Diceros bicornis minor: one gene and its partners. The protein of the gene in region 1 purifies or fractionates together with the protein of each later gene. This does not show direct contact. Links are inferred from orthologs where the notes say so. Each region holds a gene or a part of one and is shown in the gene's direction. Other genes may lie near its edges. The genes, in order: MTA1, BCL11A, DNMT1 and HIC1.

Region 1 (6,864 bases):
AAACTTGCTTTATACAGTTTCCTTACTGTCAAAAGTCAAAACGAGAAATGCGACCTCCATTCCGGCCAGATTTGCAGCAGGCGTATTTCCTGAGCTCAAACTACAGTTCCAGCAGTGCTTCCTGGACCTCAGTGCAAGTGCAAAGGAAATTTCTGTATTTCAAAATGCATTTAACAGTGTTGAGGAGCTCCCACCCAACCTTCATTTGAGAGTGATTGATCTGTAATGCAATTGCATGCTACAGTTCATGGTCCCCAGGACCATCCTCAAGTTCAATAATTTGCTGGAAGGACTCACAGAACTCAGCAAAGCAATTATACTCATGGTTACAGTTTATTACAACAAAAGGGTACAGACCCAAATCAGCAAAAGTAAGAAGCACGGAGGTCAGTGTCCAGGAGAGACCAGTTGCAAGCTTCCAGTTGGCCTCGCCCGGTGGAGTTGTGGACGGTGCATAATTCTCTCAGCCACCATGAGTGACAGTATACACGAAGTTTGCTTACCTGAGCCTCAGGGTCCAGGTTGTTTATCTCAGGTTGGTCACATAGTCGTGGCTGACCATCTGTGGCTGGCCTTAGTTGCCCAGTCTCTAGCCCTCCAGAGGTTATGTCCCCTGGTCAGCAGAGACTCTTATCAGGCAGGACACTCCAAGGGCTTTGAGGTTACCTCCCAGGAGCAGGTCAAGGGCCAAACCTTACTTTGGAAGGTGCAGAGTGTGGACAACCCAGGCCAGTTGAATTAACCCTTTACTGCACATAGGCTAAAAGGAAAATGTCCAGAGAAAAATCTAATGGAGTTCAGTAAATACCTTCCAAGTGATGAGTATGCTCCATTAAAACTGTATACCTGTAGTTAGATACCAGTATTTGGCAGCACCCATCTGCGTGGAAAGACGTTCACGGATGAAACACATGAGATCGCATCACAGATCAGCATGCACAGGGGAGCATTTCCCATTGATTTTGATGACAGCCAATGCTAACTTTGAACTCCAAGGAAGCAAAATGTCCTCCCCCCAGAACAGGATTCAGTTCTTATTAGTAGACCCATATTATTAGACACCTTTACTTGATTATTATTGTTTTAATTTAATTTCATCAGTAAAAAGTTTGTGGCAATGTGTTGTATTAGTACCTACATGGTATCCTTGGTAAAGTATTTACCATCTGGCCCTTTACCGAAAAGGTTTGACAACCTGTGTTCTAATCCATGGTACCTTATGTTACTGTTTATTGAGATCTTCATTGATTTTTCTGACCAGTGTTTTGTAATTTCCAGCATATAGGTCTTTGCACAGAACTTTTGATCTTTAAAGATCTGTGGACCATTTGTAAACTGATGCTTAAGTGTGGGATGTGTCTTGGAGCTATTGTAAATGGTACTTTTTATATACTATTTTAGTATCCTATGAGCTTGCTGAATCCTTACTCTTTAGTTTTAATAGCTTTTTTTGTAGACTGAGAAGTTCTGTGTAGACAGCCATGTTATCTGCTTGTAGAAAGTTTTGCCTGTTCCTTTCCAATCTGCATGCTGTTCATTTCCTTGTTTATTTCTCCTCCTTGCACTGACTGGGACTTCTAGGTGAACAGCAGTGGAGACAGTCGACATATTTGCCTTCTCCTGATTTTAGGGGGAAGTGTTTCATCATTAAGTGTGACGTTAGCTGTAGGTTTTTTGTAAATGCCTTCTATCAGGTTGAGGAAGTTCCCTTTAATTCCTGGTTTGCTTAAGAGTTTGTATCAGGGGGCCAGCCCCGTGGCGTAGCGGTTAAGTGCGCGCGCTCCACTACTGGCAGCCCGGGGTTCAGATCCCGGGTGCGCACCAACATGCTGCTTCTCTGGCCATGCTGAGGCTGAGTCCCACATACAGCAACTAGAAGGATGTGCACCTATGACGTACAACTATCTACTGGGGCTTTGCGGGGGGGGGGAAGAGTTTGTATCAGGAATATGTGTTGGATTTTGTCAGATCTTCTCCAGTGTCTATTGAGACGGTCATGGTTCTTTAGTCTGTTGACGTGATTTTCAGTGTTGAACCAACCTTGTATTCCTGGATGAATCCAGGGGTGGAGATTTATTATCCTTTTTTATATGTTACTAGCTTCGATTTGCTAATGTTTTGTTGAGAAGTTTTGCATCTGTGTTCATGAGGGGCGTTGGTCTGTGGGTTTCTGGTGACATCTTTGGTTGCGGTGTCGGTGTGATGCTGGCCTCGTGAGCCAGTCGGGGAGTGTTCCCTCCCCTTCTGCCTTTGGGAGGGTTGGTGTAGACTTGGTGTTAAATCTTTCTTAAATGCTTGGTAGGATTGCCCAGTGAAGCCATCTGGGCCCGGAGGTTTTTTTGTGTCTTTCTTTTTCTTTTTGGTTGTTGTTGGGAGGTTTTAGTGTATGAATCAGCTTCCCTGCTCGGTGTGGGGTGGCCTGTTTCTTCCTGGGTGAGCTTTGGTCCTTCATGTCTTGCAAGCACTTGGTCCATTTCATCCACGTTGTCAGATTGACTGGTAAAGCTGTCTGTACGTCCCTTCCTGCCCTTCTCACGGCAGCAGGATGTGCAGTGATGTCCCCTCTCGCATTCCTGGTGTTGGTTATGTGTGGCTTCTCTCTTTTCCTTATCAGCCTGACCTGAAATTCGTCGATTGATTGTTTCAGTGAGCAGCTTTGGTCCCATTAATTTGTCACCACTGCGTTTTACTCACCTTCGTTTTTTCTTTTTTTGCTGAGGAAGGTTCAAGTGGTGTAGGTCCATGCCTGGAAATCAAACCCGGGCCGCCAAAGCGGAGCAAGCCGATCTTAACCACTAGGCCACGGGGCTGGCCCTGGCCTTGGTTTTTGCTGGTTATGATTTCCTTCTGGCTTGTTTGTTTTCCCATTTACAGAAACGCAATTGGCATACAGTAAAGCCCTCTCCTTGTAAGTGTGCAGTTCTGTGAGTTTTGGGAAATGTCTACAGTCATGAGACAGCCCAGTTCCTGTCTCCAAGCCCTGCAGGCCCGAGTGGTCACCCCTCCTGCCACCTGCAGCCGCTGGCCTCTTCTCTGCCCTCTGGCTTTCCTGGGCAGGCACTGCGCCACCCGCAGCCCAGGAGAGCACCCTCGAGTGTCATCCGAGCACAGTGTGACCAGCAGGACTTCAGCTGGCACTGCCAAGGAGGCAGCCATTGGACGGACGGACCCGCTGCTGGTCTGTCTGCTCCCCACTTGAGGGGAACATTTGGGTTGTTTGCAGTTTTTGGCACATATGAATAATTATTTGAGGTTTAATTTGCTCTTTATGTAGTTTCTTAGAATGAAAGCTTAGATGATTGATTTGAGATCTTTTTATAAAAACCACTTTATTGAGATAATTTTCATTTGATAAAATTCACCCATTTTGCTTGTACAGTTCAATGAGTTTTAGTATTTTCATGAGTTGTACAGCATCACCACAATCTAAATTCAGAACATTCCCATCACCCTAAAACAAACCTCGTGCCCATCGACAGTCATCTTCTGTAGACGCCTTTGTTTTCAGCTGACCTCTGAACATGGCCCGCTGAGGGCTGCGGCTAGGCTCACTCTGGGTGTTTAGTCTCGTTGCTCTTTTGTTCCGTGGAGCTCCCTGAGGGCGCAGCATGTCTGATCTACCCGTGTCCTCAGGGCAGCACAGGTGAGCCCGGGGAGTAACGTTCACAGATGTGTGCCCCCTAGGTGCGTGCCTGCAGGTGCATCCTCACAGGTGTGCACCCGTAAGTGTGTCCCTACAGGTGTATCCTCACAACCTTGTGCACCCACAGGTGTGAACCTGCAGGTGCATCCTCACAGGTGTGTCCTCACAGGTGTGTCCTCACAGGTGTGTGCCCCATGGATGTGTCCCCACAGGTGTATCCTCACAGGTGCGTGCACCCACAGATATGAGCCTGCAGGTGTGTCCTCATAGGTGTGTACCTGCAGGTGCGTGTCGACAGCAGGAGGCAGATGCTTTTTCAGACCCCTCCACAGGGTCCAGGCAGCACAGGTGGGACCTCCCATGTGGACAGGGCTGAGCTGGCTCCTTCGGCATTTGCTGGTCTTACTGCAGTTTGCCAAATCTGTGCCCAGTTGTGGGCATTTGGGCCATATCCAGGCTTTAACTGAATTCCAGCTAAGAGGAGCCTCCTGGTTGGCCGTCTCCTGCAGGGCTGGCCCAGCCTGCGACTGCAGGCCTCCTCCATGGGTGGGGAGGGACGTGGTGAAGAAGGCCTTCGCATTCCTGGTGCAGGTTGGCAGGGACAATGGCTTGGCCTGCTCCTGGAGCTGAGCCTCCCCTGAGCTGCTCCAGTATGCCTGGAGCATAAAGGCGTCGGCTGGGCAAGCCAGGCTGGCAGGTGGGTGGCCTCGTGGCTGTCCTGGGGTTTCCAGGGTGAGCCTCCTGACCTCCCACTGTGGACCTCTCAGAAATCTCGGGAGACTGCCAGCATCCCTAAGCCAGACCCTGACTCTCCCCCTATGGAGCCTGTGGGAAGCCAGAGAGCACATGTGGTTTGTCTGTGAGGAAAGTTTGTACTGACCTGATGGTCTAGGGGACCCATCAGGGTGCTGTCGGCACCCTTTGATCTCGCTCCTCTGGGAGACTGACAATGTCCCTGTGCTAGCAAGCTCTGCCTGGTTTCTGTCCTCCCTCTGCCCCGGAGGCCCAGCCTCCGTTCACTGCTTTTGTTTTTGGAGGGAAAGGTCGAGGGGCATGGGGGGATGTGCATGGAGTTGGGGGAGGAGACACAGGGATCCAGCAGCCCCCAGTGTGCTGGCATGGTCTCTGGCTGCAGCACTCTTGGGCTACCCTCCAGGCCAGCAGCAGCCTCCTGGGAAAGTGTCCCCAGGGGGAAGGTGTCCTAGGGGACAGTGTCCTCAGGGGGAGGCTGCAGCCTGGCCCCCATGGCCTCTCTTGGGAGGGACAGAGCTCCTGGTGTTGGGACCCACGGGATGGGGAGGGCTGCTGGCTCCTGCCTGGAGCGGCCCCCTCCTGCCTCGTCTCGGGCCCTTGCCCAGCACCCACTGATGTGGTTCTGGTTATGTCATCTCTCCCCTGAGACAGTGGGGCCTTCACCTCCTTCATTCCCTCCTGATCCCTAGCCCCCAGAACCGAGGGTACGAGGGAGTGGAGGGGGGTATTTGGGCTCCCCTGGGTCCCTGGGGCGGTGGGAAATTCTGAGTGTGGCAGGCTCTGCTGTGGGATGACGCTCTCTCTGTACCTGTTTGCAGACTATGTGTACTTCGAGAACTCCTCCAGCAACCCTTACCTGATCCGGAGAATCGAGGAGCTCAACAAGGTAGCGTGTGTGTGTGCGGTGTGCCTGGTGGTCCCGTCCCTGCCGGTTGCGGGGGCGGGGGGGGGCAGCGTGCCCCTGCCCTTCCTGCGGCTCTGCCTGGGGCCATCGTCACAGATGAGACAAAACACGCCCCCAGCCTCTGTGCCGTGTTTGCAGGGGACTTCTTGGGTTGGCCCCAGACTGGCCACTGTCTGCTCAGACCTTTGGGTGGCTTCGTCCCCAGGATCACCTGCCTAGACTGGGTGCTCCTCCTTGGAGAGCCCATTAGTGAGGTCCCTGGTGGCCTCACTTGAGGGACATGCTCAGGGGGTGCCTGAGCAGAACAGAAGTGCTCAGAAAGCGTCTGGATTGGACGATTCTGGAGACCAGCCAAAGAGCCAAGGAAGCGGCCTGGGCAACCATAGCCCGAGGGTGCCTGTGGGATCCATGTGCCTAGGGGTTCCCTGCTTGTCTCCTGTCTCCCTCCCTGCTTACTTGGGCCGCCCTCCTCCCCGTCACTCGTCAGGCACTTGCAAGTTGGTCAGGGAAGGGGGTTGTGCTGTACTGGAGGCTGGGTGAGCCCAGAGCCCACCTGGGGCCTGGGATGCAGTGGGAGTGGGCTGACGGGTTGCGAGCCCCGCTACTCCCCCATCTCTCGGATTCAGAATGGCCTCCGTCTTTGGTCAGAGCCTGTCGCATCCTCCTGGCCAGTGGGAATGAGCAGTCTCCCTCCGACCCAGAGGTGTGAGCTGCCTCCCCTCCTCTCCTGCTGGCCTCGTGGTTGGAGGTGTTCGTGGGTGGCGCTGGGGGAGAGGGCAGGCGTGTCCCTTCCTCGTCCGTGGACATGGCCACAACGATGCAGGGTCAGCGGAGCCCCTGGACCTGCAGCTCCTTCCTCCCTGGGCCTCTTCCCTTGATTCCTGCAGAGCAGCTACTGAGCTCCTCTCTGGAGCAGCCCCTCTCCCGGAAGCACCCGTTGTTACTTGTGCTGGCGAGGGGGCCCTTGCTGTGCCTCTGTGAAGCCAGCCCTCAAGAAGCTGCTTTCTTAGACCTCAGGCTTTGTGACAGTGTGGCTTGGGATTCTTGGGACCAGGCAGGATGGGGTGGGAAGGTCAAGTGCTGACCCACAAGGGTCAGACTTAGCTGCAGCTGAACCTGACCCCTTGGCCATGCTTGCCAAGGGCCTCTCCCTGTGGCATCTACCACCACCACCAGGACAAGGAGAGTCGGAGGGGTGCCTGTGTCCCAGCCTGAGCATGTCAGGCTGGTTGGAGTGATCTGGCAGCTCCTGGAAGTTCTGGGGCCAGATCTGGAGGTGGCAGGGGCAGGGGAAGCGACTGGGACATCCTGTGAGGCCACTGCACTGCCGGAGCTTATGCCTCTGCAGGCGCCTCGTTGGCGGGGCCCTGCTCCCAGCTTGCCCAAGCCACAGGGCCTGCGGGAGAATGGGCAGCTGGCCTCCTCAGCTGGAACAGGAGCAAATGGTCGCCCATCTGCACGTGCCGGCACACACTGACGTGGGGACATGAGGAAACAGGCACAGAGACTCCTCAGATGGCAGTGGAGCACGGTTGGAGGGGCTGGGTGTCCACACGTCCTCCAG
Region 2 (7,247 bases), on another chromosome or scaffold:
TTATCTTTAAGTCTATCAAGGTGTTTCCCCCTAAAGGCAGACAGTGAATATTTTATTTTAATCTTGTAGTTTCCATCGAGACAGACCTTTTAACCCTTCCTTCTCCTGCTCAGCCCGAGTCCCCGCGCCAGGCGATCCTCGGCTCGAGGGCTGGGACTGTGTGAAGTCTCCTTCCTGGAGCTGTTTGTTGACCACATTCACGTTCAGAGCCCTGGAGCTAAAAGCACTTTACACCATAAAATAAAAGCACTGTCTTTTTTTCGAAAAGGTTACGTCTGGAGGCCACGCGGCTCATACTTCATACCGAAAACTACTGAAAGGACTATGAAATCCTCTATGATTTACACTCTCTCACTGCATTAGGGTATAGATCTACTCGACTCTAAAAATACGGTGGGTTTCTAACCGACGTGAATATATGTGCATTATTTCAGAAAGTCTGTTAGAAAACTTGTCAACACATTATAAAGCATAAACCAGGACTTGGCTATTAAGTACGGAGATCAGAGGCAGAATACATACTGCAGGAAGTCCTGGGGAGTCTCCTCCGCGGGCAAGATAAAAAGGGGGAGGAGGGGAGGGGAGGGGTCGTCTGTCGGCCTGGAGTTTACACGCAGTGTCGTCACTAAAGGTTGGGGAAAGAGCCCACCGAGCGTAATTACCCCTTCAGTGGAATCAGCCAAGGTTCGACAGCTCCAAATGAAGTTAACTGAACGGCCAGAAAATTTTAACGCTGTCATAATTTATTACTTTCTAAAAGCCACTTTTGGAAAGGTAAATATACTTATTGTGTATCCAAGTGTGCGCGTTTAAAGTGACCTTTCACCCCTCGACAAAACCACCTGCATCATTAATCAATACTTATGTAATATTTTAAGCCTCTTAAAACAACATATTTTTATTTCTTTAAACACACGTACAAACCCTCCCCCTCCCCCACTTTGGGGCGCTTTAGCGAGCATCCAGCAGCAATGAGGGAGGGGGCGTCGCTCGTAGGGGCGAGCACGAGGGACCGGGAGTGGGGGTCCCGGAGCAGGAGGATCAAATGCCGATACACAGCCCTGGTTTTCTGGACTGGGTGAAATCAGGCTGGGGGAGGGGCGTGAGCGGAGGGCAGCTACTATTTCACTCTGGGCATTTTATGATGGTGAAATTAAATATATGTTAATGGTGGAAACGTCGCTGCGTACCTCGGCATTGGCACCCGGGGAAAGCAGCTGCAAAACTGAGTTTTTAATGTGTGTTTTAAGATGTGGTTTTGGAAGGAACCCCCTGGAATCTGAAACAAGTGCAATAACATAGCAGACCTACTTGTAACTAAGTGCTTAATTTCCTATGATTTTTTAAAAAAGAAAATCAATAAAATGTTGCCAGTTATTTATTGGAAATAACCACAGATAGCGGCCCTGATAGGGTGCCGGTTTTAGAGAGCACACAATTGTGTAATGAATTGTAATTCAGAAGACTGTTAAATGTGAACCACAGAACCTTTCAGAGGTAATAAAGTCATTACTTTTTACACTACAGCCAACTCTGAAAAGCTTTATACACACCATTGTATATAAATCATACATATATATTTCCACAACACACATTCGCCCATTTATACACCTTCTCTATATATGGACTTTTATGGATGGATGGGAAAAATATTTAAATTTGAAAAGCTCAGTTCTGAAAGAATCTGACTTACTATTGTTACCTGAAGGGGCTTTTGTTTTATTTATTTATTTTTCAAAGGCCTCCCAGTTGCACTTTCTTCTCTCTCTTCACCTTTCCTCCAACCATTCTCCTCCAAGTCTCATCCCCCGCCCCCCCCCCGCCAGCCCCCCCACCCCCCGCAATGACATTCTTTTGGTCACTCTAAGGCTAGTTTAACAAGACAAAAAAATAGACGGTAGTGGAAGAGAGATGCTGACCTGCTCTGAAGAACTCATGAAAAAGGGGAAATGGTGCAACGCACAAGCTACAGAGCTTTACTGCAAGTGCATCTTCCTGCCTCTTAAACAGGATTTGAGTCCCCCCCCCTTAAACTGGAGGGAAACAATAACAACAAACCACATTTACACAAACCCAGTTCAGCCCACATCTCTCCTAACGCTGAGCATCAAAACCTCCTTTTCTTACTTAGAGGGGCCCGAAGCTTCGCCGAGCCAGGCAAGCCAGTCATTTTCTAATAGGCTTGAAACTTTACTAAGACAACACATGAATAAACAGCCGCTTGCCGGCGCGGCTGGGAGGTGGGTGCGCGCGTGCAAGCCGGGGCCCTCGCTTAAGACAATAAAGCCCCCCGCCCGGTGGGTGAATTTACGAAAAAGAGGTCCCTTAGACTGAGGAGGGGGAAGAGAAGACACGAGGGGTTGTGGAGCCGCTTGGAGGAGAGGGAAGGAAGGCTCCTCGCTCTGCAGACACACACTCACACACGTCCACCTGCAGCTCGGAGTCTCGCGGGCCGCGGCGACCCGCCTCCACCCTGCACCCTCCGCTCCTCCCTTGGACTTGAGTCCGTTTTCCTCTCCCCCCTGCCCTTCCGGATTTGGAATCGCAGCGTGGTCTCGGCGGCGGTGGTGGCGGCTGAGGCTACAGGGTGGTGCAGGCAGGCAGGGAGGCTGGGAGGCGGGAGACGCCGGGGGACTTTGCAGGCACGTTTCTGAATAAACTTTCCAATCGCAGGGGGTGCTGTTGCTGTACATTTTACGTAAAACTGAAAGTATCCCACGCCAGAGTGAAGCCCGCTTTTTGACAGCGGCAGCGTGTGTGTGTGCGCGCGTGTGTGCATTAAAGAGACAGGGGTTTATTTCCAACAGGTCTTCCCTAATTTCCCGCGAACCTCTGCGGAAAGGCTAGGGGAGGCTTCGGGCTCCAGAGTGGGCGCCTTGACCCGGGGCGCCTGGGGAGCGCGGCGCTGACCCAGGGCGGTCACCCCACCACCGTGGCCTCCCCGCTGCTCCTGCGAGCCAGTCGCGTTCTCTCCATTCCCCATTTTCTTTCCCCACGTAACAGCACAGTAATAGTTGTGCTCTACCAGTAAGAAACATTTTCTTTCCATTCCTCTGCGCGTTTGCAGTTGCTTAGGAGTGGGAGGGGGTGTGTCCTTCCCTGGGACCCGGCTCGGGGACCTCCCGCAGCGCCGGGAGCACGTTCCCAGGGACTGGAACTCCCAGGACTGCCCGTGCTTTGTCCTCTGGCCCGCGGTCCCTCGGTGAGGTGGACGCCTCGGCGCCTCCTTCGCCTCGGGCCCTGGCGCTCCCCTCCGAGTGCCCCGGGTCTGGCTCCTCGTTTCTGTATTCCTTGGCCTCTCTCTCTTTCTGCGACCCTTGGGAGCCTCGACTCTGTGCTTCCAGTTGCATTCAGACCCAATCGCTTGTTGGGGCGCTCAGATCCCCGGCCCCCCGGCTCGGCATTGGGGGCGCCCTCTCGGCCCTCCCGCTCGGGCCTGCACCGCTTCCCTCGCCTTCGCCCCCTCTCTCCAGGCCGCCCGGGCTCCAGGAGGCCCCGGCGCTGCCCTTCCGGACCCCAACCCTCCAAACTTGGGCTGGACTCCGCTTAGCCGCGCGCTCCCTCCCGCCTCCCCTCACCCGCGGCGGAGCTGTAACTTGGAGGCTCCGCTCTCAACTTCGGGTGATTTTTCTTTGCTAGCCTCTCCTCGGGCAAAGTTTCCGGAGCGCAGCCGCGGGCTCAAGGCTTTCACTTCGGCCCCGGCGGCCGCACGCGGGGAGCGAGCGCGGCCGCGGCGGCGGTGAGGGGAAGTGGGTGTGCGCAAGGAGGAGGGTGTCCGGGAGCAACTCTACCTGGCTTCCCTCCGCCCGCGCTTCCCCGGCCCGGGGCTGCAGCCTCCCTGTACGCTCTTGCCTTTTTTTTTTTTTAAATAATCTTTCATTTTAGGGTTGGCGTGCGGGGGTGGTGGTGCAGGGTGCACATCTTGCTCCCCCCACCCTCGCTGCCCCTTTCTTTTCTCCCCGCCACGCCGCCGCCTCTGCGCTCGCTGCGGCCACTGGTGAGCCCGCGGCCCCAGCGCCCCCTCCCCTCCGCCCGCCCCTCCCCCGGGGGCCGCGTCTGGCGTCTGCAGAGCCCCCCGCCCCGCACCTCCCCCGCCCCGCACTGGCCATTGGCTTGTCCTGGTCTCTTTTTCATGTCCAGCCCCTGATGTGTGTCCATTGGTGTGAGCTTCCCCTTCCCTCCTCCCCTTCTCTCCTGCTCGCCCTGCCCATGTTTTGTGTGTCTCTGTCCATCCAGACTCCTGACGTTCAAGTTCGCAGGGACGTCACGTCCGCACTTGAACTTGCAGCTCAGGGGGGCTTTTGCCATTTTTTTCATCTCTCTCTCTCTCTCTCCCTCTATCTTTCCTCTCTCTTTTTTTTTTTTGCTTAAAAAAAAGCCATGACGGCTCTCCCACAATTCATCTTCCCTGCGCCATCTTTGTATTATTTCTAATTTATTTTGGATGTCAAAAGGCACTGATGAAGATATTTTCTCTGGAGTCTCCTTCTTTCTAACCCGGCTCTCCCGATGTGAACCGAGCCGTCGTCCGCCCGCCGCCGCCGCCGCCGCCGCCGCCCGCCCCGCAGCCCACCATGTCTCGCCGCAAGCAAGGCAAACCCCAGCACTTAAGCAAACGGGAATTCTCGCGTAAGTAACCCAATAATAGTAATAATAATTATTAATAATCACGAGAGCGCGCAGGACGAGAAGCAAGAGCGAGGGGGAGAGAGGGGTGTGTGCATGCATTTAAAAAATTTTTCAGGAGAAAAACCTCCGAGAGTCGGGATAAAAGAGATTAAAGGGAGGAAAAAAAAACCCCCAAACCTCATCCCATCCCGAACCATAGCCGTATGTACACTTTGGAATTGCACGCACCTTTTAATTTTATTTAATTTTACAAAAATTTGACTCCTCCTCTTTCTTGCTTTCCGCTGCTTTATTTCGCTTTTCGGAAAGGAATGCAATGATTTCCCCTCCAATTTTGCAAAATAATGAACAATGCTATGGATGCGAACAACTCTCCTGCAAACCTGGGGGAGGGACCTGGAGGGGAAAGGGGGGTTGCTTCCACTCGACGAAGGAAGGAAAACGGGGAGTGGGGGAGCAGGGAGCCCAAGCCTAAAAAACAATTTCCAGGGAGAAAAGAGGTGAGACTGGCCCTCGGACACGAGCGCGCTCACGGTCAAGTGTGCACTGGGAGAAAGTAGTCATCTCCACAATAGTGAGAAAGTGGGATTGTGGGAGGGGGCCCCCGGCGCTCTGGAGTCCGCCGAGTCTGGAGAGGTGCCGCGGCGGCAGGGAGAGCCGGGCGACCGCGAAGGACGGGAGACGCGGCCGGCGCTGCCGCCTTTTGTTCCGGCCTGAGGTGGGTGTTTGTCCCGCTGCCTTTTGTGCCGGCTCCTCGCGCTTGCCCTCCCGCGCCGCCGCCGCCGAAGGGCAGGAGCAAGGGCCGGGGGCGAGCGGGAGAGGGAGGGAGGGCGCCTGGGCCGCCGCCGCCCGGGTTGCGGCTGCCTGCCCCTCCCGGCCGAACCTCAGTGGCGGCGAGAAGAAGTGCAAAATAAAATAAAATAAAAATAAAACAAGGCAAGAGAAGGTAAAATTTCTTGCCCCAAACCAGAAGCCAAACGCTCCTCCGGCGGTTTTCTGCAACGCTCTCCTTTTTGAGTCCCCCACCCCCCCTGCAAAAATCTCACAATCTCTACCGGAGTTAAAAAAAAATACGATTACCCCCTTCCCCAAAACCCTTTTAGTTGCAAACTTAGAGCGCCGGCGGCACGGAGAGGGAGCGAGGAACTCCCTCCTCTTACTATTTTTTGGAAGATTTTCAAAAAAAGTGGAAGTGGATTTTGATTGGGAAAAATCTCGTGTCTGAATGTTTACAAGCACCGCGTGTGCGGGAGCCTGCTGCCAACAAACAGACAGAGGACCGAGCGCGGCGCGGCAGCCCGGGAGCGGGCGGCGGCGGCGGCCGGGCCTCGCCGGGGCCTCGCCGCGCCCCCGCCCCGCCCGGGATCGCCCACTCGGCGCCCGGCGCCCGCCCGCCGGCACAGCAGCAGGCCGTGCCGCGACTCCGCGCCAGCCGGGTCCATGGTTCCCTCTCGCCCACAGCACAATGCCCAGACCTCCTCCCCGCCAACCCGACTGCGAAGTCGGCTGGGGAGAAACTCGGCTTTGCAAAGCATTTTTATTTTGCAAAGCAACTGAAAAAGCGTGTTCTGCGCCCCCCCCTCTCCGCTCCCCCGGATTCTTGTCCACAGCTCAGGACTGCGGGGAGGTCACCACGTGCTTTCCCTGCCCCCCTCCCACCCGGCCTTGCCACCAGCCCCCGACTCCCGAGCGCAGCCAGGCCAGGTGGGGGGAGAGCTGTGTGTGGGGGAGTGGGCAGGGGAGTAGTACGTTCTAGTATGCGTTTTGGGAATGCTAAATCCCGGGACTCTGCGCACCCCACCTTGAGTTCTTGCCCTCCACCCGGGGCCTGGCTCAGTCGGGGTGGGGGGGCTCCTTGTGAATCTATATAAGGGGGTGTGTGTGACTGTCTCCTGGCTAACAGAGTGCGCCTGGAAAGGTGGACAGTGGGCACTTAGGAAAGTTTGGCAGCAAGAGAAAGAAAAGCGTGAGAGGGCCCACATCCTTTCCCCACCTCATTCATGACCCTTATTTTAATTTTTGATGCAATTTTAAAGGACCACCTATACCCAGTTCTGTATTTTTTAAAGGGGTGGGGAGTGCGCACAGAGAATTGAATTTTTCACTGAGACCTGGAACTTGTCACACACTTCGGAAGTTCCCCCGCCCCGGCACGTTGCGGGGCCCTCCCTCTCCCCACCCCCGCGCATCCCTCCCTCGCCGCTCTCCCCCGCCCCCCACTCCCCCGGCCGCGCCGGATGCGGAGCAGACGCGGCGCGCAGCGGTGTGAAGTTACAGCCCGGCCAGGTACCGGCGGGAAGGATGGGCAGTGTTCGCAGGACTCGGGAAAGCCGGGCCCTTCTTCGGAAGGATGCATTGGGGGCTCAAAGGACAGACAGGCTTGCAGTCCAGGCTGCTCCCCGACCCCCCCGCCCCCATCCCGGGGTCTATCTCGGGACACTCCAGTCTGGGTGGGTTAGCCCCTCTCCCCCGGTTTCAGTGAGGGCTTTGTGTTAAGGGGCCGGTTTGGAGAGGTTGCGGGGTCGCTCCTTTCTCATTTTCTGGGTGCACAGAGGGGGCGGGAGCCATTCCAGTCTTCAGGACCCCCTCACCCCCCATCCTCCGCTTCTTGGGATGAA
Region 3 (7,154 bases), on another chromosome or scaffold:
CAAGAAGGAGGCTGGGGGGGTGTCCAGGAGAGACTTGAGGGTGACCTGGGCTGGGGCAGTGGCCCTGGAGGGGCAGATCAGCTAACTCACTCAAGGGCTGTTTGAAGGGAAAACCCACCGGGCTTGGCAGCAAGTCTCTTGTGGTCCCGTACAGAAAGCCATCAGCCTGCTTAAGTGCTCTACAAGGAGCAGGCAGGTCCACCCAGCACACCCCAGAGTTGGTTTCCCCAGATCTGATTCCTGGTCACTTGAGCCCAGAGAGGGAGCTTGCGAAGCCTGCCCTGCTGGTCTTCCTGCCTGGCCCCTGCCTGGGGCGAGAGTGGCAAAGTGTCCCCATCGAACCCTTGAGTGCTGCTGCCGCCATCTGGGGCCTCCTTTGGTCCTGGCACCAAGCGAGAGCTCAGTTGCCGTGACTAATGCCCCAGCATGTGGCATGACTCAGCTCTGGCTTTCTGACTGACTGTGGCCCAGGACATGTGGCCATCTCTCCACTAGCCCTGGTGCTCGGGGCTGACACCTAGCCTTTCCTGGCCCCTGGAGTGTGGCCCTCCAGCTGGAGGCTGGAATACGGCCTGGGAAGCAGGGAGGTGGGCCTGACAAGTCTCATGTCAGGGGTTCATGAACACTACTTTAGAGACCAACAGGTGGAGGTGGAGTAAATGCACCTGAGAGCTGAACCTGGCTGCTTCTGGAATTTCCAGTCCCTTCTCTCAAGGGATGAGCCCATTTCTAGGTGGAGGTCTCTGGTGGTCCAACCAGTCACTCTGGAGGCTCCCGGAAGCCATCAGCATCCCTCTCCCCATGGCTCTGGCTGACATTTCTAGTGGTCAGGTGAATTGAGTGAAGTGGATGACTCAAGGACTAGAGACAAACGAGGCTTTGCAACCTTCTCTGATTTGGGCCTCAGTTTCCCTGTTTGTGAAATGGAAATCCATTGTTGTGGGGGAGAAAATAGCTTCATACCCACCAACCTTTGCATCTTCACTGTACATCAGGCACCTGCTTGCCACCTCCTACGTCCTATATATTCAACCAATCTTTGGATTCCTACGGAGTGAGCCCTTGGAGGGCCAGCTGTGAACGAGGCAGACCAGGTCCTTGCCCTCTGGAGCTCGTAGTCTTTGCAGGGGTCAGCATGCTAAGGCCCATAAGCTAAATCCGGCCCACCATCTGTTGTTGTAAATAAAGTTTTATTGGAACACGGCCATACCTATTCGTTGACTGTCTATGGCTGTTTTCATGCTACAATGGCAGCATTGAGGAGTTGCAACAGAGAACGTGTGGCCTACAAAACCTAAAATATTTACTGATCCTTTAGAGAAAAAATGTGCAGACCCCTGCTCTGCTCTAGTGAAATAGACATACTATGATGACAGTAAATAAGAAACTCTCTGACAGTGGTAAACTCTATGAAGGAGCAGGGTAATAGGCCAGAGTGAGAGGTCAGGGGGAAGCCTCTGAGTAGAGGCAACCTTGGAACTGTGTGAATCTCCCAGAAGAGTGGTCTGGGCAGAAGTGAAGCAAAGGCCCTGGGGCACATAAGAGCTTGAAAGACTAAAAGTGAATCAAGAAGCTGGAGCTCAGTGAGGTGGTGGTGGTAGCGGGATGAGATGCATCCAGGAAGGACCCTGTAAATAGAGTAAAATGCTTAGATTTTATTTGAAGGGCAATGAGAAGTTTTGCAAGGTTTTAGTGGGGAAGAGAAGAGAAGAAGGATATGTCCCCCCACCCCCCTTTTTTTTTAAAGCTCTCTGGATGCTGTAGTCTGGGAGACCAGGGAAGAGGCTACTAGAACAGTCCAGGCAAGTGATGGAGTGATGATGGAATCTCTGAGGAGGCAGCAGAGCGGATAAGCAGAAAGACCCGGGTTGTATTTTAGAGGAGGAACCAACAGAGATTGCTCACCTCTTGCATGTGAGGGGAGGAGAGGAATTAGAGATGGTCTGAAGCAGCACCTTGAGAGCAGATCAGCAACGTTGGCACCAAGTGGGGCAAATTTTGATGTCGCTGAGCCCTTGCCCCATCTGTAAAATGGGTCGAATCATCCCTTGACAAAGGGATCACAAAGAAGATCCGCCTGAGAGGACATCCTGCCACTACATGCAGCTGCTCTTCCGAGAGCTGAGGCCCTGACAAGCAGGTCTGCTTGTCTGTGTCCCCTCTCTCCCCCATCCTGTGAGCACCCCTCTTCCTAAGGCAGCTTAGGGGCCCAGATGCTGGTTTCCAGCAGGTCTACGGGTCCTGAGCCTCACTCTGGCCAGACTCTCTTCTATCTGTCCCCATCCTCAGCCCGGTTCCCTCAATGCTGTCCCTTTGGCCTCCCAGGGGCCTGACAGCTGGCCAACCCTGGGGTTTCTCTTTCGCATTCAGGCTCTGGAGCTCAAGACACCAGGATTCATGGTCCCTGCTGCTTACTGAGTCTATGATCTTGGGTTAGCAGCCTCTGAGCCAGACTCCTTTGTGACAAATATCCTAGGCCATGGGAAATGGGGTCCTGACACCCCCCCCCTTTATGCTTGTTAAGGATGAAATTAAATAACTCTTAAGAGCCTGGTACAGTACATAAGTGCTGATTCCATATTAAATTAATAGCTATTAATTTTTTTGTGAGGAAGATCAGCCCTGAGCTAACATCCATGCCAATCCTCCTCTTTTTGCTGAGGAAGACCGGCCCTGAGCTAATATCTATTGCCAATCCTCCTTTTTTTTTTTTTTTTTCCCCAAAGCCCCAGTAGATAGTTGTATGTCATAGCTGCACATCCTTCTAGTTGCTGTATGTGGGACGCGGCCTCAGCATCGCCGGAGAAGCGGTGCGTCGGTGCGCACCCACCCGGGATCCGAACCCAGGCCGCCAGTAGCGAAGCGTGCGCACTTAACCGCTAAGCCACCGGCCGGCCCCAATAATTCTATTTTTAATTTTTTGAGGAACCCCCACATTTTTCTATAGCAGCTGCACCATTTTACATCCCCACCAACAGTGCATGTGGGTCTTAATCTCCACATTCTCGCCGATGCCTATTTCATTCTTTTGATCATGGCCATGCTAATAGGCGTAAGGGGGATAGCTCATTGTGGTTTTGATTTGCATTTCCCGGATGATGACTTAACTTGAGCATCTTTTCATAAACTTGTTGGCCGTCTGTGTATCTTGGGAGAAATGTCTATTCAAATTATTTGCCCATTTTAAACCAGGTTATTTGCCTTATTGTTGAGTTGTAAGAGTTCTTTATATATTCTGGATATTAATCCCTTATCAGATAAATGGTTTACAAATATTTTTTCCCATTCTATAGGTTACTTTTTCACTTTGTCGATTGTTTCCTTTGCTGTGCAGATTTTTAGTTTGTAGCCCCATTTGTCTATTTTAGCTTCTGTTGCCTGTGCTTTTGGTGTCATATCCATGAAATCACGGCCAAATTCATTGTTGTGAAGCATTTCCATGTTTTCTTCTAGGAGTTCTGTCATTTCAGGTCTTATGCTTAGGTCTAATCCATTTTGAGTTTTTGTATATAGTGTAAAGTAAGGGTCCAATTTCATTCTTTAGCATTTGGATATCCTGTTTTCCCAACACCATTTGTTAAACGGACTAGCCTTTCCCCAAGTTCTAGTACTTTTTTAAATACACAGGATGTGGAAGTGGTCCGGGCTTCCCCACACTGTGAGATCCTTGGTGCTAGCTACATATTCTGTGCAGCCTCAAGCTTTTCTGGAGTAGGTGGTATTAGCCCCTTTTTACAGATGAGGAAACTGAGGCTGGGTCCAAATGACCCTCCCAAGGTCGTTAGAGTGAGCAAACAGGTGGTGGTGGGGTTGGAACTGAGGACTTTAACTCAAAAGCCCACAGGCTTGAATCTCGTGGGAATGCTCCCCGTTTTATCCCCAGCCTGCGGGAAAGAATGAATGAATGAATGTCTCGGGCAAGGCTCTCGGCAAACGGCGGAGCTTGGACGAACCCACTGCTCCGCGCGGGGGTGTGCGCCTGACTCGCGCATGCGCAGCCCCCGCGCACGTCCCGCTCCACTACGTCCGGCCGCACATGGTACGGCCTCTCTCCGCGTGGTACGTCCCGCCTTCCCCCACGCCCAGGCCGAGGTGGTACGCGCCGCCTCCGCTCGCCGCCCCTCCCCGTCGGTTTCCGCGCGCGCGAAAAGCCAGGGCTGTCTGTGCTGCTGCCGCCTCTGCTGCAGTTTCCAAGATGCCTGCCCGCACCGCCCCAGCCCGGGTGCCCGCGCTGGCCTCCCGGGCCTTCTCACTGCCCGACGATGTCCGCAGGCGGTAAGTGCCACGGGGGCCCGCGAACGCGGGGGGTGGCACAGCGCTGGGGGGGGTCGCTTCCCCGCCGGGTAGCCTGTGGCCGCCGCTGACAGACGGGCGCGCATGCGCGGGGTGGCGCGGCGCGCGGCGGCGGTTGGCGCGGGCAGGGTGGCACTTCCGGTCGCGCGCGCCCCTGGCCGTTTGGCGCCAAAATGGGCCGAGGCACCTCACAGCTCCCTGGTGCCTAGGAACTTGGGGTCTCTTCTGACCTCAAAGTAGAGCAAGCGTTGGGGTCGCCTCGGGGGTCCCCTTCCTGGAGCAGCCGCGGGCCGGGCTCCCGCCGCCAGCCTGGTCGCACAGGAAGTGGGCAGCCCGCGGCCTCAGGACACCCCTCGGCAGGGCACTTCGGCCTCCGCTTCCGGTGCCCGGCCCTCCTGGGGGGTCGTGCCGGCCCGGTCCCCGGGGTCGTTTCGGGGGGCCCCCTCGGCACCCCCGCGCGGCGCATCCCGATGGCGGCTTCCAGAGACGGACGTCGCCGGTCGGGGCCCGGGCGCGGCCGGCTCAGGTTTGCGAGCCCCGTCTTCCTTGGGGGGCTCCCGCCATCGTCTCGGACTGCTGGGAAGTCACATTCTGGAAGGAACTCGTACCGTGCAGCGCAGGGCCAGGGCTCAGGCAGCGCGAAGGCTGCATGGTCTTTTCTAGTAAATCTGTGCCCATGAGCCGTGGGCATCAAGGAAGCCTTGCTGGGGAGAACTGGCCGCACTTTCCAGTGTGTGTATTTAGGGGGCAGTTTGGGGTCGCTGATGTTGGGGACCAGCTCAAGCAATGCCGTGCACATGGGTCAGTGGCACGACCATTGGGCCCCCCCTTCTTGTTCTAGAAGGGCTCCCATTTCAGTCCTGAAAACTTGTACCCCTCGCTTGGAACGCTGATCACGGGAACCTTGACCAAGACTGAACACTTCCAAGCGGATTGGTGACCCCGCTTTTGCCATTTCGCTGTGCTTGTTTTCTATGGCTGTGCCAGGCCCGTTCTGATTTGGGCTTTTCAAAGTGGAGTGTGTGTGGGGGTCTCCCTACTGGGTGTTTAAGGTTCCAACCACTTCTTCACCACAGTTAGAGGGGATGTGTCTTGCTGAAGAACCCCTATCTGGATCCCCCCAAGATATAACGTAACTTAAAGTGGAAATGGAATCATGGAAGTCCCTGGCTTCATTTTAGACCCAATACAGAAAAGTTGGGGTCCAGCCTCCTTTCTCTGATGGTGAGAACGCTCCCTCCATTGGCTTTTTTGACTTTGGGCACAAGTGTCATAAACAAGCCCCAGCTGTGGGCTAAGATTGACAACATGGGCTTTAATTTTATTTATTTATTTTTCCCCCAAAGCCACAGTAGATAGTTGTATGTCATAGCTGCACATCCTTCTAGTTGCTGTATGTGGGACGTGGCCTCAGCATGGCCAGAGAAGCAGTGCGTCGGTGCACGCCCCGGATCCGAACCCAGGTCGCCAGCAGTGGAGGGCGCGCACTTAACCGCTAAGCCACGGGGCCAGCCTGACAACATGGGCTTTAAACTGGCATTGGATTAAATGAGAATATGCCTGGCACCTGAAAGCCCACGTGTTAGCATTGTTATCAGCTAATTTAGCTTACTTTCCGGTCTGCGAATCAGTCACTGATTGTATAAAACACTTTACATTATCGCATTTAATCAAGAGTCCTTAAGAGTGGGTGCCACAGGCATCCACTTGGAGGAAGCGGGAATTCCTGCTGAGGTCTGTTTCGTGCCAGAGCCTTTCCCTTCAACGAGGAGTTTCGAACAGCCCACTAGCTCGGGTTTTATTGGGCCGGAGCAGTGTTCTGTTTGGCTGAATTTGAATGTTCTTAGGTTTGCAATCCACCATTCACTCTAGCTTCCATCTTACTTGGAACTAGAATTGCCTACTGTAGGTATGGAGTTGTGGATTTCTGCCTTGGACCATGTGGTAGACGTTGAAATGGTCAGCTTACATGACCCTCGATAGCTTTTCTTACATCTTGAATTTCAGCATACAAAATACACACATAAACATGGCATTCATCACTCCTTTAAACTTAGATTCATAAACGGAGGTATAACTCTTTTTGACCCACGAAAATTAGACAAGTGTAATCTATAATATAAGAGGAACCTAAGTCCAGTAGAGTGTTCTAGGAACAAAATTGAGGCCTGGTCCTCATGTATGCGTTTCTGTCACTTCTGCTAACTTGTGTTTATATGGCATCTTTTAAAACTCACAGAGTCCCATTAGATACGTAATGATACTAGCAAGTATTTAATGTTTGGGTTTTTAAGTCTTGAACTGCTTTTTGGAAGTGTTATATACGCTCAGTCTTCTGAAAATCAGGCTTTTGAGGACAAGCCACATTTCTCCACTTGATGTTTCTTACTCTGTCCAAGCCGCCATCATTTGTACAGAAGAAGCGAGAGTCTTCCTGCTGTCACTGAGGTCTGTTTTCTATAAGTGGAAACTGTGATCCTCTTACAACGTGAGTTGGAGCCGGTGGTTTTTCCCGCCCAGCACGCTGCCTGGTGCTCTTGACCTGGAGTCTGGAATCCCTGTCCACTTGCGTGACTCAGTCTTGTGCTCATCTCCTCACAAGCCACGCAGGCCTCCTCTGAGGTTCTCGAGGCCTGAGACCATGCAGAGTGACCAGTGTGAGGCTGGCTGCTGTCCATTCATCCGTAAGACTGTGCTCAGAAAGACAGTCCCCTTCCCCCACAATGAGAAGGGTGTTGAAATATGTCCGTGCACCCCATGTGCTGCCTTTGCACCCTGGAGTTGGTAAAGGTTTGTTTCCCTTCTTCATTGTATCTGCAGCTTGGTGTACAGTAGACTCAAAGGCCTGCCAGCCTTTCCCC
Region 4 (7,881 bases), on another chromosome or scaffold:
CCCGTCGGACCTTCACTCCCCGCCCCCGCTTCCTCCTGCTCCAGGTCACCCCCATACCGGGCTGGCAATGCGCGGCGCGGCGCGTGGGCGTGCTGCGGGGCGACCATGGCTGTAGACTGTTACCTCCGGTTCCCACAGTAACAATCGAAAGCCACGGTTGCCCTGGAGACGCGGGGGCGGGGCGCGCACTACTGACGGCATCGCGGCAGCTCCAGTCAGGCTGACGTCAGGACCGCGGGGTGGTGGGGGGCGGTGGCGGGGCGGGCGGGGGGCGGCGCGCGCGGCGGGGACCGGGCGCGGGACTGCTCGGGGGCTGTGCGATGTGCCTGTGGGCCGGCCGCCCCCCTCAGCCCCTGGGGACCAGCAACAGGACGACCCGATGGCGGCGCCTGAGCTAGATCAGCACCGCGGACAGCGGCGGCGTGGGCAGCGAGCGCGGGACTGGGAGACCCCGGGGACAGAGGGGCCGGGGGCGCGGCAGGCGGCCGGGTCCGCGGTCCTGGGGCGGGGCCAGGCGTCGGTGGCCGTGACTGGAGACTGTTACTGAGGGCGGCCCGGGCAGTAAGCAGTCTAGAGCCAAGGTGCCGGCGCGCTGCCCGGGCGGGAGTGCCTCTGTCGCCCGCAGCTGGGGGCGCTGCTGCTCTTCCTCCCCCGCGTCTCCCGCCCTTCTCCGCCCCGGCGCTCGCGGACAGGCACGCGGCCCTTGACGTCAAAGCCCTGTGACGTCAAAGATGTCCCTGCGGAGAGGCACTTCCGGCGGCAGGGCGGGGGGGGGGGCGTCGGTGGGGGTGGGGCGGGGCCGTCGGGCCGAGGCCCCGCCCCCGCCTGGTCCTGAGAGGACAGCTCCTCGCGCAGAGGCGGGAAGTCGGAGGCGCTGAGGGACCAGCCCGACGGGACAGGGTGGGGAGGGGGCGCCCCGGCTGAATGCGGGGCGGGAGTCCCGAGAGAGCTGCGGCCCGGGTGGCGGGAAGGTGGGCGTCTGTCCCTGGCCGGGGCCCCGGCTCAGCCGGCCAGGGGCAGCGAGGCTGAGTCACCGTGCTGCGGGGAGGAGGAGGAGGGGGCGCCAGCACCTTCGCCCCACTTTCTTGGGAGAATGGCGCAGGAGCGCCAGGAAAAGCCGCGGGGACTCTGGGGTCCGTCCTCTGTTCGATGCTCCTCCGAAGTGGCTGCGTCTCCATCCAGGAGCGGGCAGGTGCTGCACGGAGTTCCGTGTACGCCTCCGGCCCGGCTCCACCAGCTGCGAGGGGACCCTCGGCCCCCACCCTGTCCCCAACCCCAGCCCCGTAGAGGCCCTCCAACCTGCTGCTTGCTGGTCTCCTCCTTGCCCTCCTGTCCGTGTCCGTGCATCGGTCCATCTGTCTCCCGTCGGTCGGTCATTCCCGCTTACCTGTCGAGCCGCGTCGCGCCCGCGCCCGCGCCCGCGCCCGCTCGCCTCCCGCAGCCCGGCTGGCGCGGCGGCTTTTATAGGAGCGCGTAGTACTCGTGCGGCGGCTCATTCATGCGGCCGCGGCTCCTACACACTGACGCGCTGCCGACGTCAGCAGGGAATTTAGGAAACGGGAAGAGGGGCTATTTATAGTGGTGAGGCGAGGAGGGAGAGTGGTGGGGACCGAGGCGACAGGGGGCTGAGAGGGGGAAGAGGGCGCACGGAAGCAGGAACGGGGAGGGGGAGCCCGCGCCCCCTGTGCCGGTCTACCAGGGGTTAATTTTCCGGAACTGCGGGCTGGGGGCCGGGGGAAGGATAGTGCTGGGATGCGGGGAGGGCGGACGGGTCCGTTACATGTTTATTCACTCTGGGACACCTAGGGGCGCAACCCCATCCCGCCCGCCTTTCAGAGGTCCTCACCAGGTAGCCCCCATTCCCATTCCTCACTTCCTGGACCCGACCGCTCTGTGAAGTCACAAGATGCCCCGCAGCGGCGTTGTACAGCAGGGCCACTGCGGGGGGCAGGAGAGGAAGCTGGACCCGCGGAGGGGCCTACGGCAGCATCTAGAGATGTGGCGTCGGGGAGATGGGGAAGAAGAGTGGGGGAGCCCAAGGGTCCCGGAAGGCTTTGTAGGAGGAGGCTGGGCCTGGGAGGGAAGGCCCAATGGGGGTCCAGGTACCAGTCAGAAGTTGGAGACCCAAAGGAAGGCAGAAAAGTTGAGGAGGTGGCTTGGACTCCCCAGAAATGAACAAGGGGGTCCTCTATGGGACAGTTGGGAAAAAGGTGGCAGGAGAAGGGGGCGAGAGGAAGAGGCAGCCTCATCAAGTGGAGGGGAGGAGGACAGGTTGGCAGTGCCATTTTCAGAGCCTAGCACGAAGCAGACCGCGTTTAGGACCCATTTGTGGAATAATGGGAACTGGCAGAGCTCAGATAAGGATGATAACGAGTGAAGGAGACCAAAGGCTCAGCAGCTTGGCAGAGTGGGGTCTCCAGGGGGCGGCGGGGCAGAGACCACTTCCTGGAGGAGTTACAGTTCTTGGAGATCACAACTGGCAGGAAGGGCCCACACCATGTAGTCAGAGTTCCCCTGGACGGGAGCAGGGAAATGAACGACCCTGGCTTAGCCTAGCTCCATCAATTGAGGAAGTCTCCAAATGGGGAAGGGGGAGAGTGTGCAGATTGAGGAGCTGGACTGGGGTGAGGAGGGGTCAGCACCAGCCAGGGCAGGTGGAACTAGGGAAGGAGGGAAAGGTCAAAGTTTGAAGAAGGGAGAGGTCCATAGGAGGGCAGCTAGGCTGGAGGAAGTTCTGTGAGACCCTCCCATACAGATGTAAGGACAGCTTGAGGGTAGGGGCTGGGGCAGTGAGTTAACTTGGGGAGAGTGTTGAAGAAAAACAAAGACAGTGGGCACAGCGGACCCTAGGGTAGGTTCACAGTGGACAGACTCAACCGCACAAAAGAGACGTGGGGCTGAGGGGCTCCTTGTGGGGCTAGGATCTGGCCCCATCAAGAGGATGAAAGACTACAGCAGAAATGGGGTCAGAGAGGTCATGCACACTTTGGGATCTGGCCTTCTAGAGTTCCCATTTTTTTTTGTATCCAGTCTTTGTCCCAGTGGTTCTCATCTCCAAGGAATGCCTTCCTGCCTGGGGGAAGAACTCCTATTCATCCATCAAAGCCCGGCTCTAAGAGCGCTTCTTCTGAGGAGCCTTCTAGTCTCCCCCCAGCACTCCATACATTTTTCCACCTCAACGCACCACATGTCCCTCCGCCAAGATGTGGGGGTCCGTCTCTCCTAGAGGCCGGCAGCCCCGGAGCCCACAATTTTCATTCTTGGAACCTCACTACTTCTCTAGTGAGGAGACCGTGGGGAGACAGAGGAGAGGACTGGGATAAGACGGATCCAGAACACGTAGTAGAAACAGGGTGAGGGCAGACTCAAGACACGAGGGGAGTCAGAAGGTCCCGCGGGGACCAGGAACCGCCGCCTGGCCCCAAGGCCATGAAGTCGCCTGCGGAGGAAAGTGAGCCTCTGGGGGGCGCCTGAGACCTTGGTGTCTGTCAGCGACCGCGAGTGGCTGCGCTGGCAGCCCCTCAATGAATGACTCAGCCACTACCTCTGGCGGGGGCGTGGGGGCGGAGGACCGCAGCCGGGCGGCGAGCGCGGCCCCCACCTGCCCCGCGGCCCTGCTAGTTGCTAAGCTCTTCAAGGCCTTGGAGAGACGCGATCTGGGCGAACCTCATCGGTTACTATGGTAACTGAGCCCCAGCCTCTCGCGCGCGGCGGCTGAGGGAGGAGCAGCCAATCAGAAGCCGCAGGCGTTCTCGGGGACCCACTCCCACCCCCAACGTGTGGGCGGGGGTCAGGAGGTGCGAGGAGGAGGCGGAGCGTGGGCTGCGGCGACCCCGCGCTCTCTACAGGCCCGTTGCAGCGGCGGGGCCGGGCGCTGACACTTCCGGAGTAGCCTTGCGAGTGTCCGATCGCCAGTGCGGGGTCCCCTCCCTCCGAGAAGGGGCGTCACTTGCAAGAACCCGGCCTTTACGTGGGGGTGCGGGACCTTGCGGGGGATCCCGGGCTGCAGGCCCTCCTGTCACGGGTCTCTCGCGTCGGTGGGTTGCAGACGAGGTGGCCCAGGCATGTCCCTCGGAACGGCTCACACGGGGAATCTGGGGGCTGGGGTCGCTTCTGCGGGACCCCCAAGAGGCGCTGTCCAGCCATTCCCTGTCGAATATCCTGGGGTCCTTCCAGAGACCTGCAAGTTCAGGGCGGGCTGTTTGGGTACCACGTCTGCCCAGGTCCACGGAGAGTCCTACGTGGCAGCCCCCGGAATGTCCCAGAAAGCCAGGGCTTGGACTCCGGAAGGGGGCAGGTGTGTTCTGTGCAAACAGGCGTGCCCGCAGGTGTCAATGCCTGGAGACGGTCTGGGTGCAAACGGGTTTATTCTGTGCATACCTAACCCATGTGGCTGAGTGAGGGTGGATGTGTTGGGGTGGTGGGTACAAATGGACAGTTCCATCTAGGAATGTCTAGGGAGAGTCACCTAAGATCTTGTCTACCTTCTTCTCCCTTAGGATTTCCGTAACCTCCTTCCCACCATCTACTGTCACCAGAGTCCCCTCCTTGCGGGCAGGACTTCTCTGAATAGAAATATGTAAATGGGAGCGTTCAGCTCAAAACCCCAGGGTTTGTGGGACTCGCAGGTCCGGGGCCTGGGTCCCCAAGTGGGCACATCTGGGGGAGTGAACCTGCGAATAGGCCCCCCTCCCAGGTCCAGCTCCGCAACTACGAGCCTCCAATTCAGGTACGCGGGAGGGAGGTCGCGGCTGTGCCGCGCAAAGCCCTTCGCGGCCGCGAGGTGGCGCCATAGCTGCAGCAGCGCCCCCCGGACCGGGCAGCTCCAGATAAGAGTGTGCGGAAAGCGCGGCGGGGCTGAGACGCGACCAGGACGCGGGGAGGACGGACCAGCAAGACAGACCGACCGGGGGCCCGGCGGGCGGAGGGCAGCGCAGCGCAGCCACGTCCCCCCTGGATCCGCTGGCAGCCGGGCCCGGGGCTTCCGACATGCCCCCCAGGTGGGTCCTGGGGCTGGGGACCAGGAGGGACAGAGGACCCGGAGAGCCCGGTCCTCGCGCCCTGGCCGCCTCGGGCGCATCCTCCGGCGCGGGCGCCCCAGCGCGGCTGGCTTTCAGGGCTCGGGGTGTCGCCCCTAGAGGACTCAGGACCTCTGGGCCGCTGCTCTGCGCCGGGTTCACGGCGGGGTCAGCGGCCCGGGGCCGGCTCTGCCCGCACATGGGCTGAAGAGGCTAGGGGAAGGGAAGGGGAGCTGGCGGGCGGGGCTGGCAGGGGCGCTGCCCTGGCACAGCTCGGCGCCTGGCAGCGGGGCGGGTGGGGCCCTGGCTAGGACTGCCACCGCCTCGGGGAGGGAAGCCCGGTCGGGCTGCGGCCGCAGGTAACGGGCCGCGAGGCCCTGCGGGCCAGGCGGGGAACAGAGTCGGGCGGGCGAGCGGGCGGGCCGGGGAGCTCAGGGATCGGCTCAGGCCCTGCGACCGCCTGGCTGCCGAAATTGGGAGCCGAGAGGAAAAGCTGGGAGCCAAGGGACCGGGGCTGGCGCGCTCCTCCTGGCCTGTCTGAAGTTGGGAAACTTTTCCCCAAGTTTGGGACGGCGGAGTTCCCGTGGAGAAGGGGCCGAGGAGAGCTGGGGAGGGAGGCGCCGGGCCCGCGAATGCAGAGCAGAGGCCGAGGCCCGGGGCCGGGACGCGGGTGGGGCGCAGGCCGGGGTCAGGGCCGCAGCCGGCTGCGCGCCGTGCCCGCCCGGGGCGCTGCCCCCTCCCTCCCCTGGGAACTGCGTGGCTCCCCCCTCCCCCCCACCTGCTTCCTGCCTCAGCCTCCTGCCCCGATATAACGCCCTCCCCGCGCCGGGGCCCGGCCTTCGAGCTCTGCCCAGCAAGGCAGCCGCTGCCTCCTCTCCCCGCGCCGCGGCTGCCGCCCGGGCCCCAAATGAGGGCCTGACAGCCCCGGCCAGGGCGGCGCCACGGCGGGCACCGCGCTCCCCTCCTCCGGATCACTTCCCCCAGCTGGGGCAACTTCTCCCGAGGCGGGAGGTGCTTTTTACTCGACTCCCTTACATCCCACTTAGGCAAACTTCTCGGCCCTGAATGACTTTTCCTGAAGCGGACATTTTCCTCAAATCGGGTAACTGTCTCCTAAAGGGTCACTTCGCCCGAACAGTTTTTTCCTCGGAAGCCCCCACAAGCCAGCCTGTCTGCCGGGCGGCATCCGGGCCCAAAGGTGCAGGCCCACCCGGCCTTCTCTCCACTAGCCACTCTCCTGCTCCTTCTTCTGGGCCAGCCGGCCCGCCCAGGCTCCCACACTCGGAGGCTGCCGATCCTCCGCCAGTGCCCAGGCCGCGGTGCTGATGCCCCGGCCTAGCCGAGGGGAAGGGGAAGTGGAGGGGAGAAGCACCGGGCTGGGTCCAGGCAGCAAGGGCTCCCTGCGGCTCTGACCCAGCTGGTGTGTGTCCCCGCAGGAGATTGTGCTGGGCAGACGATGCTGGACACGATGGAGGCGCCCGGCCACTCGAGGCAGCTGCTGCTGCAGCTCAACAACCAGCGCACCAAGGGCTTCTTGTGCGACGTGATCATCGTGGTGCAGAACGCCCTCTTCCGCGCGCACAAGAACGTGCTGGCGGCCAGCAGCGCCTACCTCAAGTCCCTGGTGGTGCACGACAACCTGCTCAACCTGGACCATGACATGGTGAGCCCGGCCGTGTTCCGCCTGGTGCTGGACTTCATCTACACCGGACGCCTGGCTGATGGCGCGGAGGCGGCGGCGGCGGCCGTGGCCCCGGGGGCCGAGCCGAGCCTGGGCGCCGTGCTGGCCGCTGCCAGCTACCTGCAGATCCCCGACCTCGTGGCGCTGTGCAAGAAGCGCCTCAAGCGCCACGGCAAGTACTGCCACCTGCGGGGCGGCAGCGGCGGTGGTGGCGGCTATGCACCCTACGGGCGGCCGGGCCGGGGCCTAAGGGCCGCCACACCCGTCATCCAGGCCTGCTACTCGTCCCCAGCCGGGCCTCCGCCGCCGCCCGCCGCCGAGCCGCCGTCGGGCCCCGAAGCCGCCGTGAACACGCACTGCGCCGAGCTGTACGCCTCAGGCCCCGGCCCGGCCGCTGCCCTCTGCGCCCCGGAGCGCCGCTGCTCCCCGCTCTGCGGCCTGGACCTGTCCAAGAAAAGCCCGCCGGGCTCCGCGCCTTCCGAGCGGCCGCCGGGCGAACGCGAACTGCCCCCGCGCCCAGACAGCCCTCCCAGCGCCGGCCCCGCAGCCTACAAGGAGCCGCCGCTGGCCCTGCCGCCGCTGCCGCCGCTGCCCTTCCAGAAGCTGGAGGAGGCCGTCCCGCCTCCGGACCCGTTCCGTGGCGGCGGCGCCAGCCCGGGACCCGAGCCCCCCGGCCGCCCCGACGGGCCCAGCCTCCTCTACCGCTGGATGAAGCATGAGCCAGGCCTGGGCAGCTACGGTGACGAGCTGGGCCGGGAGCGCGGCTCCCCCGGCGAGCGCTGCGAGGAGCGCGGCGGGGACCCGGCCGCTTCGCCTGGGGGGCCCCCGCTAGGCCTGGGGCCGCCGCCGCGCTACCCGGGCGGCTTGGACGGGCCTGGCGCGGGCGGCGACGGCGACGACTACAAGAGCAGTAGCGAGGAGACGGGCAGCAGCGAGGATCCCAGCCCGCCCGGCGGCCACCTCGAGGGCTACCCATGCCCGCACTTGGCTTACGGCGAGCCTGAGAGCTTCGGTGACAACCTGTACGTGTGCATCCCGTGCGGCAAGGGCTTCCCCAGCTCGGAGCAGCTGAATGCGCACGTGGAGGCTCACGTGGAGGAGGAGGAGGCGCTGTATGGCAGGGCCGAGGCGGCTGAAGTAGCTGCCGGGGCTGCCGGCCTAGGGCCCCCTTTTGGAGGCGGT

The links.
Region 2: the proteins of MTA1 (region 1) and BCL11A purify together in Homo sapiens (affinity purification with mass spectrometry; 4 studies listed by BioGRID and IntAct, counting the BioPlex papers as one, with this or other methods). This does not show direct contact. The link is inferred for Diceros bicornis minor from reciprocal best matches to the Homo sapiens genes MTA1 and BCL11A.
Region 3: the proteins of MTA1 (region 1) and DNMT1 purify together in Homo sapiens (affinity purification with western blotting; 4 studies listed by BioGRID and IntAct, with this or other methods). This does not show direct contact. The link is inferred for Diceros bicornis minor from reciprocal best matches to the Homo sapiens genes MTA1 and DNMT1.
Region 4: the proteins of MTA1 (region 1) and HIC1 purify together in Homo sapiens (affinity purification with western blotting; 3 studies listed by BioGRID). This does not show direct contact. The link is inferred for Diceros bicornis minor from reciprocal best matches to the Homo sapiens genes MTA1 and HIC1.

What each region holds. Positions count from the first base shown.
Region 1 is NC_080763.1:49,836,513-49,843,376, forward strand, and holds the start of MTA1 (metastasis-associated protein MTA1), read left to right. Parts: upstream 1-3,869; 5' UTR 3,870-3,887; coding exon 3,888-3,927; intron 3,928-5,171; exon of another isoform or gene 5,172-5,186; coding exon of another isoform or gene 5,187-5,214; coding exon 5,215-5,282; intron 5,283-6,864. UniProt on the Homo sapiens protein: Transcriptional coregulator which can act as both a transcriptional corepressor and coactivator. Acts as a component of the histone deacetylase NuRD complex which participates in the remodeling of chromatin.
Region 2 is NC_080751.1:26,591,421-26,598,667, forward strand, and holds the start of BCL11A (B-cell lymphoma/leukemia 11A), read left to right. Parts: upstream 1-4,246; 5' UTR 4,247-4,574; coding exon 4,575-4,629; intron 4,630-7,247. UniProt on the Homo sapiens protein: Transcription factor. Associated with the BAF SWI/SNF chromatin remodeling complex. Binds to the 5'-TGACCA-3' sequence motif in regulatory regions of target genes, including a distal promoter of the HBG1 hemoglobin subunit gamma-1 gene.
Region 3 is NC_080769.1:8,952,968-8,960,121, forward strand, and holds the start of DNMT1 (DNA (cytosine-5)-methyltransferase 1), read left to right. Parts: upstream 1-4,149; 5' UTR 4,150-4,195; coding exon 4,196-4,275; intron 4,276-4,486; exon of another isoform or gene 4,487-4,763; coding exon of another isoform or gene 4,764-4,819; intron 4,820-7,154. UniProt on the Homo sapiens protein: Methylates CpG residues. Preferentially methylates hemimethylated DNA. Associates with DNA replication sites in S phase maintaining the methylation pattern in the newly synthesized strand, that is essential for epigenetic inheritance.
Region 4 is NC_080757.1:15,773,386-15,781,266, reverse strand, and holds the start of HIC1 (hypermethylated in cancer 1 protein), read left to right. Parts: upstream 1-4,881; 5' UTR 4,882-5,000; intron 5,001-6,454; 5' UTR 6,455-6,474; coding exon 6,475-7,881. UniProt on the Homo sapiens protein: Transcriptional repressor. Recognizes and binds to the consensus sequence '5-[CG]NG[CG]GGGCA[CA]CC-3'. May act as a tumor suppressor. Involved in development of head, face, limbs and ventral body wall.